Mus musculus: one gene and its partners. The protein of the gene in region 3 purifies or fractionates together with the protein of the main gene of each other region. This does not show direct contact. Links are inferred from orthologs where the notes say so. Each region holds a gene or a part of one and is shown on either strand. Other genes may lie near its edges. The genes, in order: Ptcd3, Copb2 and Esr2.

Region 1 (3,653 bases), on a different chromosome or scaffold from region 3:
CTCCAGTAGGATTAAAATTAGAATTATTTATTAGAATTAAAGAAAACCTTAATTCCACTACTCTGGGAGGCTGAGGCTGGTCTACAAAATGAGTACCAGGATAATCAGAGCTATTCAGTGAGACCTGTTGCCAAATGCCAATCAGAAATGTTTGTAGTCAATGTATAACACAGCCTGTGTAAGAGATTTGGGTAAGACACAGAGCTGGACTTTGGTACTAATTTCTCTGGCACTGATATCAGAAAGATCTTATTTTCCTGTACTTAACTTAACCACTATAACTTGAGCAATGGCCTTCAAGTTTGACCTTAACAAAAGTGTTAACCTCTGTTAAGAATGGAGGCTTTTGGAGGCTGGAGAGGTGGCTCGGCGGTTAAGAACACTGACTGTTTTTATGAAGGTCCTGAGTTGAAATCCCAGCAACCACATGGTGGCTTACAACCATCTATAATGACATCTGACATCCTCTACTGGTGTGCCTCAAGACAGCTATAGTGTACTTACATATAAATAATAAATAAATCTTTTAAAAAAAAAAGAATGGAGGCTTTCAGTCTTAAAATGTACATGTTAATCATCAGTCACTGCACAAAACTGCCACCAACCTTTCCAAATCTGAGGAACCAATTCTAGTCTATTGGCCACATCCAATGCTTGAAGAAGACCTATGAATATTTGGTAGTGGGGAAGGAACACCTGGTGGAGAAATACAAACATGATTTTATAACATCCATCAGAAAAGGCATTCTCACAAATTCATCTACAAAGACAAAGATGAGTATGAAGTCCCTTACTGAAGGTATTAGGTCCTTATACCACTTCAAGGTGACATCAATTTGTTCCAGTGAACAAATCAAACTGAAAAACTTCGAACTGTGGAGAGAAAAAGTGTGTTTAGATTAAAGTCTGTGTGTAACAATAAGATATGATTAGTGAAATTCCAGTAGAATTATTACTGTATTAAATCATACATTTTTAAAGTTTACAACTTTAGGTCAGTGAGATGGGTAAAGGTACTTGTAATAAAGGCAGGAGAGGACTCACTCCACAAAGTTGTCCTTTGGCACCCCCCACCCCCAATGCTGTACATGTGCACACAAAATAAAAAAATATGTAATTTCAAGTCAGAACGGTCAATGATTGACCAAATGAGTGGTAACTACTACATTTCCCAGCTGAGATCTTGGATCCTCAGCTGGACACTTTGGGCTCCCTGCTTACTACTTATTCTCAGTCACCTCAAATAACATTTGTATTCAAAGTACTCAGTGGGGAAACAAGGACCTGGACACACAAAAACAACCCTCACACATAAAGGCATGAAGTGTAACACAATAAAATCTCTATGTACATATAAGAGTCTAGTCTTAATATTACTGCTACTTTTCAATTTGTCTGCGTATATGTACACAGGTGTGCCTGCCTATAGATGCTCGTAGGAGTGGGAGTTGTGTTTCAGATGTCGTCTTCAACTGCCTCTCCAAAACCTCACTGAACCTGAAGCTCCACTGTTGTGTTCACCTCCAACAATGTGTTCAGAGGTCCAAGGCGGGGCTGGGGGTTGGCGACAATGCAAGGCAAGCACATGCTTACACACCTGCTGGACGAAACAAGCGCCAGCAACTTTCTTTACACATACATAAATATTACACGCATATATTAATACACATTCACACACTGGGTAGATGGAGTCAGGCGCCAACCTCTTTACATACATACATACATAGGTATACACACATATCTATGTGTGGCTGGAGTAAGCTTCAACAAGTAAGCTTGATCAAACTTCATAAATGTACACATATACACACACACATATACATATTTGGATAGACAACTCCAATGAGCTGACTCCAATAACTTTTTTTTTCTTAGTCTTTTTATACCACCTAAGACTAAAGTTCTGTAAGGAAAAACCTCAGAGTCACAAGTTAACATTATCTCTAAAAAACAATCACCACAAAAACATTCCTCAAAACAGAATTAAAGCCGGGCAGTGGTGGCGCACGCCTTTTATCCCAGCACTTGGGAGGCAGAGGCAGGTTCCAAGCCAGCTTGGTCTACAGAGCGAGTTCCAGGACAGCCAGAGCTACACAAGAGAAACCCTGTCTTGAAAAACAAACAAACAATTAAAATCACTACACAAAAGGAAATTACAATAGGAGTATATATTATTCTTTTGAAATTCATACTTAACTAATATTCCCCATTTTTCTTTCTTTCCACAAGTTCACCATAAACCCCAAAGCAATAATTCTTTTGTTACTAAAATTTAAGCAATCCAGTTTGTAGTAAGTTCTTTCCTATGCTGATAACAATTTATACTTAGCAAGAGAGATAACCTATCTTTTGTTCAGATAAACTAACTAATCATCATTATTTATCCTTATATTCATAACAGAATTACTTACTCTTTATCCATAACCCTGTTTTTTCATAGTGCACACTGAAACCTATGGCCACATCCCTAGATCACAAGATCCTAGAACTCAGACCCAACCTACAATGTTTTCTTTGATAATGACCTTGTCCCAAGCCTATTTTTCTTTTCCAAGTACAATTATATGTTTGTAATGCAAGAAAACTCACTGTATTTGTTTTCTAACAGATGTAGCCCCCAGTATTTTACAAAGGAGGGCACACATTCCACTCATAGTTCTAACTTTATTACACCTTCTGGCAAAACAACTTAATCCATCTCCTTAAACTTTCTATCAATTACCCTAAACTTCCTAAGACTATTTAAATCAAATCAGGAAGTCTGTAAAATTATTAGTTCATTTAAACAATATTATTTTTGGAAATTTCATTTTCATATTGATCTGCAGGAAAGTTGCCTGACAGAGTGGGCTGTCTCTCAAGAGGCAGTCACACCTTGCTAGATGTATGAGGAATATAGCAATGACAAGCATGAGAAGGCATGGCAGCAGCAAGAAGTAATCTGTAGATGAAGGCTGAGGTACAGCCATTGCAGCTGTGTAAGATGGTGGGCTATCTCTAGGAAGCTCACTTGCCCACTGTAGGTCCCTCTGCATGTCATCCGCCATTAAGCCTTGCTCCATCTACCCAATGTATGTATGTATAAAGTTGTTGGAGCTTGCTTCACCCACCATGTATGTGTGTACATGTATATATTTATGTGTGAAGTTGATGGAGCTTGCTTTAACCACTAAATGTGTGAGCATGTGCATGCTTTACATTATCACCAGCCCCCACACCCCCCTCCTCGGATTGCTGAACATTGTTGGAGCTGGTCTTCAACAGATTTGCCTATATCTACTTCCTGCTTCATCGTGGGTTTACAGAACACATACCACCAGTGGGGCCTGGGAACCCAAACCTAAAAATGTATGCTCCCACTTGGAGCCATTTCCTCAGCCCCACTGCTTTTATCAAGTGTTCAATTACAAGTACAAATAATGGGCCCATCACCTAAAACTAGAGCTAAGATATACAGTCTTTAAGATCCTCCCACTGCTGAATCTAGCAATTAAACTGAAAGGAGGGGGTTAGAAAGATGGCTCAAGAGTTAAGAATCCTTGGTCCAAAATCATGAGGGCTAGAGTTTGGTTTGGATCCCAGCAAGCATTTAACAAACCAGGCGTTCCTACCAAGTATTTATAGGCAATTCCAAAGCAGGGCAGAGATGGGCT
Region 2 (3,653 bases), on a different chromosome or scaffold from region 3:
ACTCCGGTTCAGGCACTGAGGGGCTGTCATCAGTTAGGCTTTACTCTGGTCTTGGATTCAGCCTATCAATATCCCTCCCTTGTGCTCTATTAGGGCATAAAGCCATAGGACAGGCTTTTAAATCTACTACTGTAGTTACAAAGTTAACTTCTGTGAGAAAAAAACATTGATGGGCAAGTTTTCCAACTCTGGGAATGTGGCAGCCAGAGGGAAACTCTGGTGGCTTACTTCTCAGCACACTGAAGGAAAATGCTTAGTGTAGAGTGGTCAGGACAGAGAAGCCGGACAACATTCAGAGTTCATCTAACTATGTCGTCATGTTGCTGGAAATGTGCCATTCTGCTTCCCCCATCTACCCATGGTGCAATGTAAACACTGGTTCTAAATAAGTTACTGATTTTCTTCACTAGCACTGACAGCAGAAAACCCCAGAGTGAACAGCAGATATTTGGAACTGGTCAGGTAGGGGTAGAGCAGGACAGAGGAAGAGGGCGACATGTCCTTGCTTTTGCTGTATTTCCGATCTACACTAAGATGACACTAAAGGTAGTTTTTGTGTTTGGGGGGCATAAACTCCTAAGGATATACTACAAAAGGAGAGGAAATATGAATAAACAGATTTTAAAGAGAACTTTTGCTTTAAGATTTTTGTGTATGAATGTTTGCCATACATGTATATATGTGCCTGATGCCTACAGAAGCCAGAAGAGGAAACTGAATTCCCTTGGAACTGCAGTTTCAGGCAATTGTAAGCAGGTAAGTAGTTCATTGGAACCAAACTTAAGCCCTCTGTAAAAGTTGTACCCTTCCTGTGATGTCCACACACAAGACTCCCATTTTATAGGCTTCACTTCACATGAAATGCCTAAAGCTGAAAATGAAGAGTCAGTGCATTGCTACATCCTCAGGCATGAAAACAGAAAATACTTCTGGGAAATAGGAAGGGGTCAGGAAAGGACATCTGGTTTACATTGTAGAACCTACTTTATATGCTGTGAATATATAACTGGAGTTGGCACATTGGTAATAAGTTTTATTAAGGGAGCTTTACCACATGTTTAAGTTAAAACAAGATAATAATAGGAAAACTAAGTCCAGCTTAGGGTTTGTTTTTTTGTTTGTTTTTTGTTTTAGAGACACACTTTGTAGCCCTGGCTGGCCTGGAACTCTGGAACTACCTCTGACTCCCCAGTACTGGAATTAAAGGTGTGCTAGAAATAAAAATGCCAAGAACCTTAAAGGGGATGTAAGAAAAGTGATAAAATCAGCTCCAACACTGACAGAGGCACTGAGGTTCCTACGCCTAAAGAAGCAAGAGTTCAAGCCAGATGTGCTGTGTGTGTGCTGCCAACCTGATATGGTCAGTGGTAAGACATAAGAGATGACATTCTACAACCTGTATCAACATTCTGTCAAATGCTACTTTTAAAAAGAAAGAGAGGGGAGGGAAGGAAAGTAGGCAGGCAAAACTTCTCACCTGTTTTTCCAAAAAGTGTGCAACTCTGGTCCTCTGTTCTTTGGGGATGGTAGGGAGGACTTTATCCGCCATGCTAAAATCCCTCCGCATGACAGCAGTCTGGTATTCCAGGACTGAAACCAACAGGGAGTAGCTAACAATATTCAATTCCTTATCCCCCAGATAAAGTCTATTGTCTTTTGGAATATAGCCCAGAAGATACATTGTCCTGTAAGAGAAAGAGAAACCAACTCAGAAGCCCAAATCTACAGTTACACCACCACACAAACACACAAACACACACACACACACACACACACACACACACACACACACCCTTCTTGCTCAAATTCTTACACATTTAATGGATGTGATTTTGGTTACCATCAGAAAATCTACTAAAACTAATGGGGGGAAATTAACCCATCACTGTTACACAAGTCAGCATGACATTTGGTTCATAAAGCACTTTCAAATTTAGGCTGCTTTAGACAAAAGCAAAATGACACTCAGTACCTGTCCAGGTGGGCGATGGTGACTATCTCTCCTCCCACGTAATAGTTTAATCTGTTCACAGAACTTGTGTAAATGAAGCAGTCACCTACCCACAGCCCAGTTTTCACAATTTCCTGAATTTCACCAAGAACCTATAAAAAAGAAAACAGACTATTACAATCTTAGTCAACACCAGAAATCTGAACAAGCTAGATATGATGAGAGTGATAAGGAATGCAAAGTAAAATCCAATTTCAAGAACATTCTTCCTAAGAATTTTTGTCTTAAAAAAAAGTTTTCAATGAATATTTACAGTATGAAATCTCAGTGTTGAGTCATTAACATAAACATAACTAAAAAATATCAATCTAAACTGCAACACATGAAACTGGAATGTTAAGTATCTTCAAGTCCTTAAGGACATCTAAACAGTGGATGGTTTGATTTTCCCATTTCAGAGCTCATTTGAATCATTCTAGCTCAACAGTCTTAGAACCAAACACCTTCACATTTCCTTAGTGAAGATAGCAAAGCAAGCCTGCAGATTTTCTAAAAGTCAGGGCACATATTTATTTTAAACATACAGTGGTTGTTTGAATAGATATGGACCCCATAAACTCATGTGTTGGCCCATGGGGAGTGGCATTATTAGGTATGGCCTTGTTAGAGGAAGTGTGTCACTGGAGGTGGTGCTTTGAGGTAATATATATGTTAAAGCTCTGCCCAGTGTGAAACACAGTAGTGTCTCCTGGCTGCCTCTGGATCAAGATGTAGATCTCTTGGCTCCTCCAAGTCCAAGTACCATGTCTGCCTGTAGGATGCCATGCTTCCCATCATGATAATGGACTGAACCCCTGAAACTGTAAGCCAGCCCCAATAAATGTTCTTTATAAGAGTGCCCTTGGTCATGGTGTCTCTTCACAGCAATGAAACCCTAAGACACATACTTTCAAATTCTGTTTTTGCCAAAATTTTACATATTATCAGAACTTACAGTCACCCTACCCAAACATAATTTACACAGAACTATTAGAATCAATTTAGTCTGTTTAAAGAATATAAAATACTAAAAACAAAGCCTAGGCTGGACTCAGACCTCACCTCAAAGGCGTCTTCAATGCCCTAAGCTGGACTCAGACACTCACCTCAAAGGCGTCTTCAATGCCATCTTCAGTAACTCCCTCATGTGTTTCCTGTGCAGCCAAGACTTTTTCTGACAGATATTTAAGAATAAAAAATGACTCCTCGGTGGCGATACAGACCAGCTCTCCAGAGTCAGACCAGAAGATCTGCAACCCGACAGACAGACAGACAGACAGACAGATGACTGACCACCTTTCTGAGCAGCCACCTCAAAATGTATTCACTTTGTTCACTACAGGATCAGTCTTACAGCAAGGTAGTCATTGTGCACTTAGCATTGATGCACCATACTTCTATATGCACTTGGGAAGGTGGACAGCACAGCACTGTTGTGGAACACCAATGGGAAACAGGGTTCTATCATTCAGGTGAGGTGGGCTGCTCTCTGTTCTCTAAAACAGTGTTTCTTACTCCTTATTTCTTTTCTCCACACACATATGTGCACTTATACATAAAGAAAAAACAATAATACCACAAGGGAGCACCTTTGGTGGGCCATGGCCCCAGTCTCTCTAGACAGACTCAGGACCATAACAAGGTGAGATGCTTTCTAATGGCA
Region 3 (3,653 bases):
CTAGGATCACCTCTGTAACACCAGCAGTGGGTGCAAGAGGACCCTCAGAGCTGCCTGGGTGGCAACTGGTCCAATAACAAACTCTGACTCTAAAAATAAGGTGAAGAGAAATTGAGAAAGATACCAAATGATGACCTCTAGCTTCCAAAGGGGCATGTACACACAGTCATACATGTATGCAAATACACACACTCACATGTGTACATGCACATAGGTTCACACACACATACAGAATATATCTCTACGCATCGTGTGAGCCCAATGCTTTTTACAAATTATCATTCAAGAAACTGGTTTTGTACCAGTAATGAACAAAATAGAATACACTGCATTGTCTTCCTGTGTCGCACAACCTAATACACAGTTCCACTAATACTCGTTGAAAGAATTTCAAAAGGAAACAGAATTAAAAGAATAAGCTTTTAAAAATAAGCCAAGCCCTAAGCTAGACCAGAAGTGGTAAGGAACCCCTGTCCTTGATCCCTTCTCTGTGCCCCACAGCCCAGGAGAGAAACTACAGGGTTTGGTCTGGTGGTGCCTCACTCTGTGGAGAGGTCAGCGAGTCTGGTCTTGATGGGAAACCTGGCACCACACAGCCCCACTGCACTAAGATGTAGGCAGTTGGCACCACACAGCCCCGCTGCACTAAGATGTAGGCAGCTGGCACCACACAGCCCCGCTGCACTAAGACGCAGGCAGCTGGCACCACACAGCCCCTCTGCACTAAGATGTAGGCAGCTGGCACCACACAGCCCCACTGCACTAAGACGCAGGCAGCTGGCACCACACAGCCCCACTGCACTAAGACGCAGGCAGCTGGCACCACACAGCCCCACTGCACTAAGACGCAGGCAGCTGGCACCACACAGCCCCACTGCACTAAGACGCAGGCAGCTGGCACCACACAGCCCCACTGCACTAAGACGCAGGCAGCTGGCACCACACAGCCCCACTGCACTAAGACACAGGCAGCTGGCACCACACAGCCCCACTGCACTAAGACACAGGCAGCTGGCACCACACAGCCCCACTGCACTAAGACGCAGGCAGCTGGCACCACACAGCCCCACTGCACTAAGACGCAGGCAGCTGGCACCACACAGCCCCACTGCACTAAGATGTAGGCAGCCTGCACCACACAGCCCCACTGCACTAAGACGCAGGCAGGCAGCTTTACCGACCAAGTTGGCAAGGAAAGTTGAAAACCATGAAAATGAAGAATGGTAAATGTCAGGAAGTACAGTGTGGCTTAGGGGCATAGCGCAGTTGGTAGAGAGCCTGCCTCACATGCAGGAAGCAGCCCTGGGTTCCATGTCCAGCGCCGAACAAACTGGGCTTAGTGGTGGATGCCTATGATCACTGTGGAGGTGGAGGATCCTATGTTCAGGATCTTTGATGACTAAATAATGGATTCAAGGTCAGCCTGGGTTACGTGGAACCTTGTCTCATAAACAAACCAACATTAAAGTTAAACGCCAGCCCACCGTCATGACATAAGCATACCCTATATTAAACCTAGGAAAAAATGAACAGATAGACATTCTTTGATGAGCACAGATTTTTTTTTCCTAGCACTATCTTTACAAGGTTGTAAACAGATATCTTTTCTGGCCCCTATAATCTTAGGGTTCTGGAGTAGAAACAAGCAATCCAGACATCCATACACCCCCACTCAACCCACTCCCAAACACACACTCATCTAAGCTGCTCACGTTCACAAAGTGTAAGCCAGCCCAAGGGTGACATTTATATCAGATCATCTCTGCAAAATTGCTTGCAAGCCAAAGTGTAAATACTAGAGGAATGATTTATCATAGTCTTGTACCTTGAATGCTTCTTTTAAAAAAGGCCTTACATCCTTCACAGGACCAGACACCGTAATGATACCCAGATGCATAATCACTGCAGACGGCGCAGAAGTGAGCATCCCTCTTGGCGCTTGGACTAGTAACAGGGCTGGCACAACCGCTCCCGCCAAGCTTCCTCTTCAGGGTCTCTCTGGGGGAGCAGAGAACACAGCCATTGTCAAAGGACACAACAAGAGAGGGGAAGGGCTTGGCAGAAAAAAAAAATAGCATGAACTTGGTCAAATTTAATCTCTTTGCCTTCCAGAGCTAGGGATAAATATGTTCCAGGAAACCTGATATCAGATCACAGGGAGCTCCATCGCAGTGGAGACTGACATTTAAGAGCCTACGTGGTGAGTCCAAGCCCTCAGAGGCTACGAAGAGGGCAGCTCAGGGCTGGGCTGGGATCCGTAGCTCTAAGAAGGAATTGTCCAGCAGAGGAGCAGCAGGGGCAGCTGCACACTCTGCCCATGGGCTGATTTGCCAGGACATGTTTCTTTTGGGGAGGGAGATAGTAGAGCTATTGCTAGTTCAGAAACGATAAAAACAAACTTCACCCTTTAAAGAGAGATATGTTAAAAGCACTTGTCTTCAGCCACAACCTACAGTTTTTATATTTGTTTCTTTAGCTTACCAATAAATAAAAATATTAAGGAGAAAAAATAAATTATTGTGTATTTTCTTAAAGGTTGTTTTGGTTTGGCTTGGTTTGGTTTGGTTTGGTTTGGTTTGGTTTGCCAGAGGTTCTGGGTTTGGGGGTACAGCAGGTTAGACCCAGAGCCTTGAGGATGTTAAACATGCCTCTAGTACTGAGATGGGCCCTCCAGCTCCTGTCTCCTCTAAGATTTATAACAATATTTGAAATATTGTTATAATAATAATAATATTATTATTGTAAATTATTTTTATATAAATATTGTTACAAATTTTTTTTTGTTTTGCCTTGTCTTTTGAAACAGGGTCTTTCTATGTAACCCTGGCTGTCCTGGAACTCACTATGTCGACTAGGCTAGACCTGGCTTGTGAGTGCTGGGATCAAAGGTATGCACCATCACACCCTACAAGTAATGCATTTAAGAGTCAGTGTGCCCTAACGTGGTTCTCTCTTCCAGCCCTCCGTTTCTTCCAGTCACGCATTCATATGTTCTCCTCTCTCTCAACAGCCATCGGTAGAGTCGAAAACCTTACAAATTAGACAGAAGCAATACATCACGTGGCCATGCATTCAGAGTTCAACTTGTGTTAACTTCAGATCTTTTCAACAGAATCCTACAGTTGGTGTCTCATTGCCCCTGACAAAGCACCACCTCAGCTCATCACTAAAGCCTGTGCCCGTTAGCTTTCCTGGCTTTGCATGGCTACTTCGTGGAAGTTGTAGTGTTACCATGGCTACGTTCATCCTGGAGACAATTTGTCATCAACAGTAAGTAACCTGTCATTTTACACTAAGACTCTAATCTGACTGTGAAAAGCAAACCAAACCAAACAAACCAAACAAAAGAAAACAAACCACTTAAAACCCAACACCTTCACCTAAACCAAACGGATACAAGTTTGATGTTTGCTGCATAAAGAGACGATTATTCATTATGGTGAACTCTCTCCATAGTGTCCATCCATAAGCGCAACATTTTAAGAACTAGAATGTCAGAGCAGGACAGAGCAACATGTCTCCAGTATCCTAAGAATGCAGGTGACAGAGTAAAGACCTTTTCTAACATGTCTTTCTTCATGCTAACCTGTAAAGAAAGGATCAAGCCACCACCCATGGTTTACAGGGCTTTACCTGTTTACAGGCAAGGTGTG

What was found.
Region 1: the proteins of Esr2 (region 3) and Ptcd3 purify together in Homo sapiens (affinity purification with mass spectrometry; 3 studies listed by BioGRID and IntAct, with this or other methods). This does not show direct contact. The link is inferred for Mus musculus from reciprocal best matches to the Homo sapiens genes ESR2 and PTCD3.
Region 2: the proteins of Esr2 (region 3) and Copb2 purify together in Homo sapiens (affinity purification with mass spectrometry; 3 studies listed by BioGRID and IntAct, with this or other methods). This does not show direct contact. The link is inferred for Mus musculus from reciprocal best matches to the Homo sapiens genes ESR2 and COPB2.

Annotation. Positions count from the first base shown.
Region 1 is NC_000072.6:71,884,704-71,888,356, forward strand, and holds part of Ptcd3 (pentatricopeptide repeat domain-containing protein 3, mitochondrial isoform 1 precursor), read right to left. Parts: intron 874-3,653; coding exon 795-873; intron 697-794; coding exon 606-696; intron 1-605. UniProt on the Homo sapiens protein: Mitochondrial RNA-binding protein that has a role in mitochondrial translation.
Region 2 is NC_000075.6:98,580,722-98,584,374, reverse strand, and holds part of Copb2 (coatomer subunit beta'), read right to left. Parts: intron 3,241-3,653; coding exon 3,097-3,240; intron 2,104-3,096; coding exon 1,973-2,103; intron 1,686-1,972; coding exon 1,478-1,685; intron 1-1,477. UniProt on the Homo sapiens protein: The coatomer is a cytosolic protein complex that binds to dilysine motifs and reversibly associates with Golgi non-clathrin-coated vesicles, which further mediate biosynthetic protein transport from the ER, via the Golgi up to the trans Golgi network.
Region 3 is NC_000078.6:76,163,624-76,167,276, forward strand, and holds part of Esr2 (estrogen receptor beta), read right to left. Parts: coding exon 3,634-3,653; intron 1,999-3,633; coding exon 1,826-1,998; intron 1-1,825.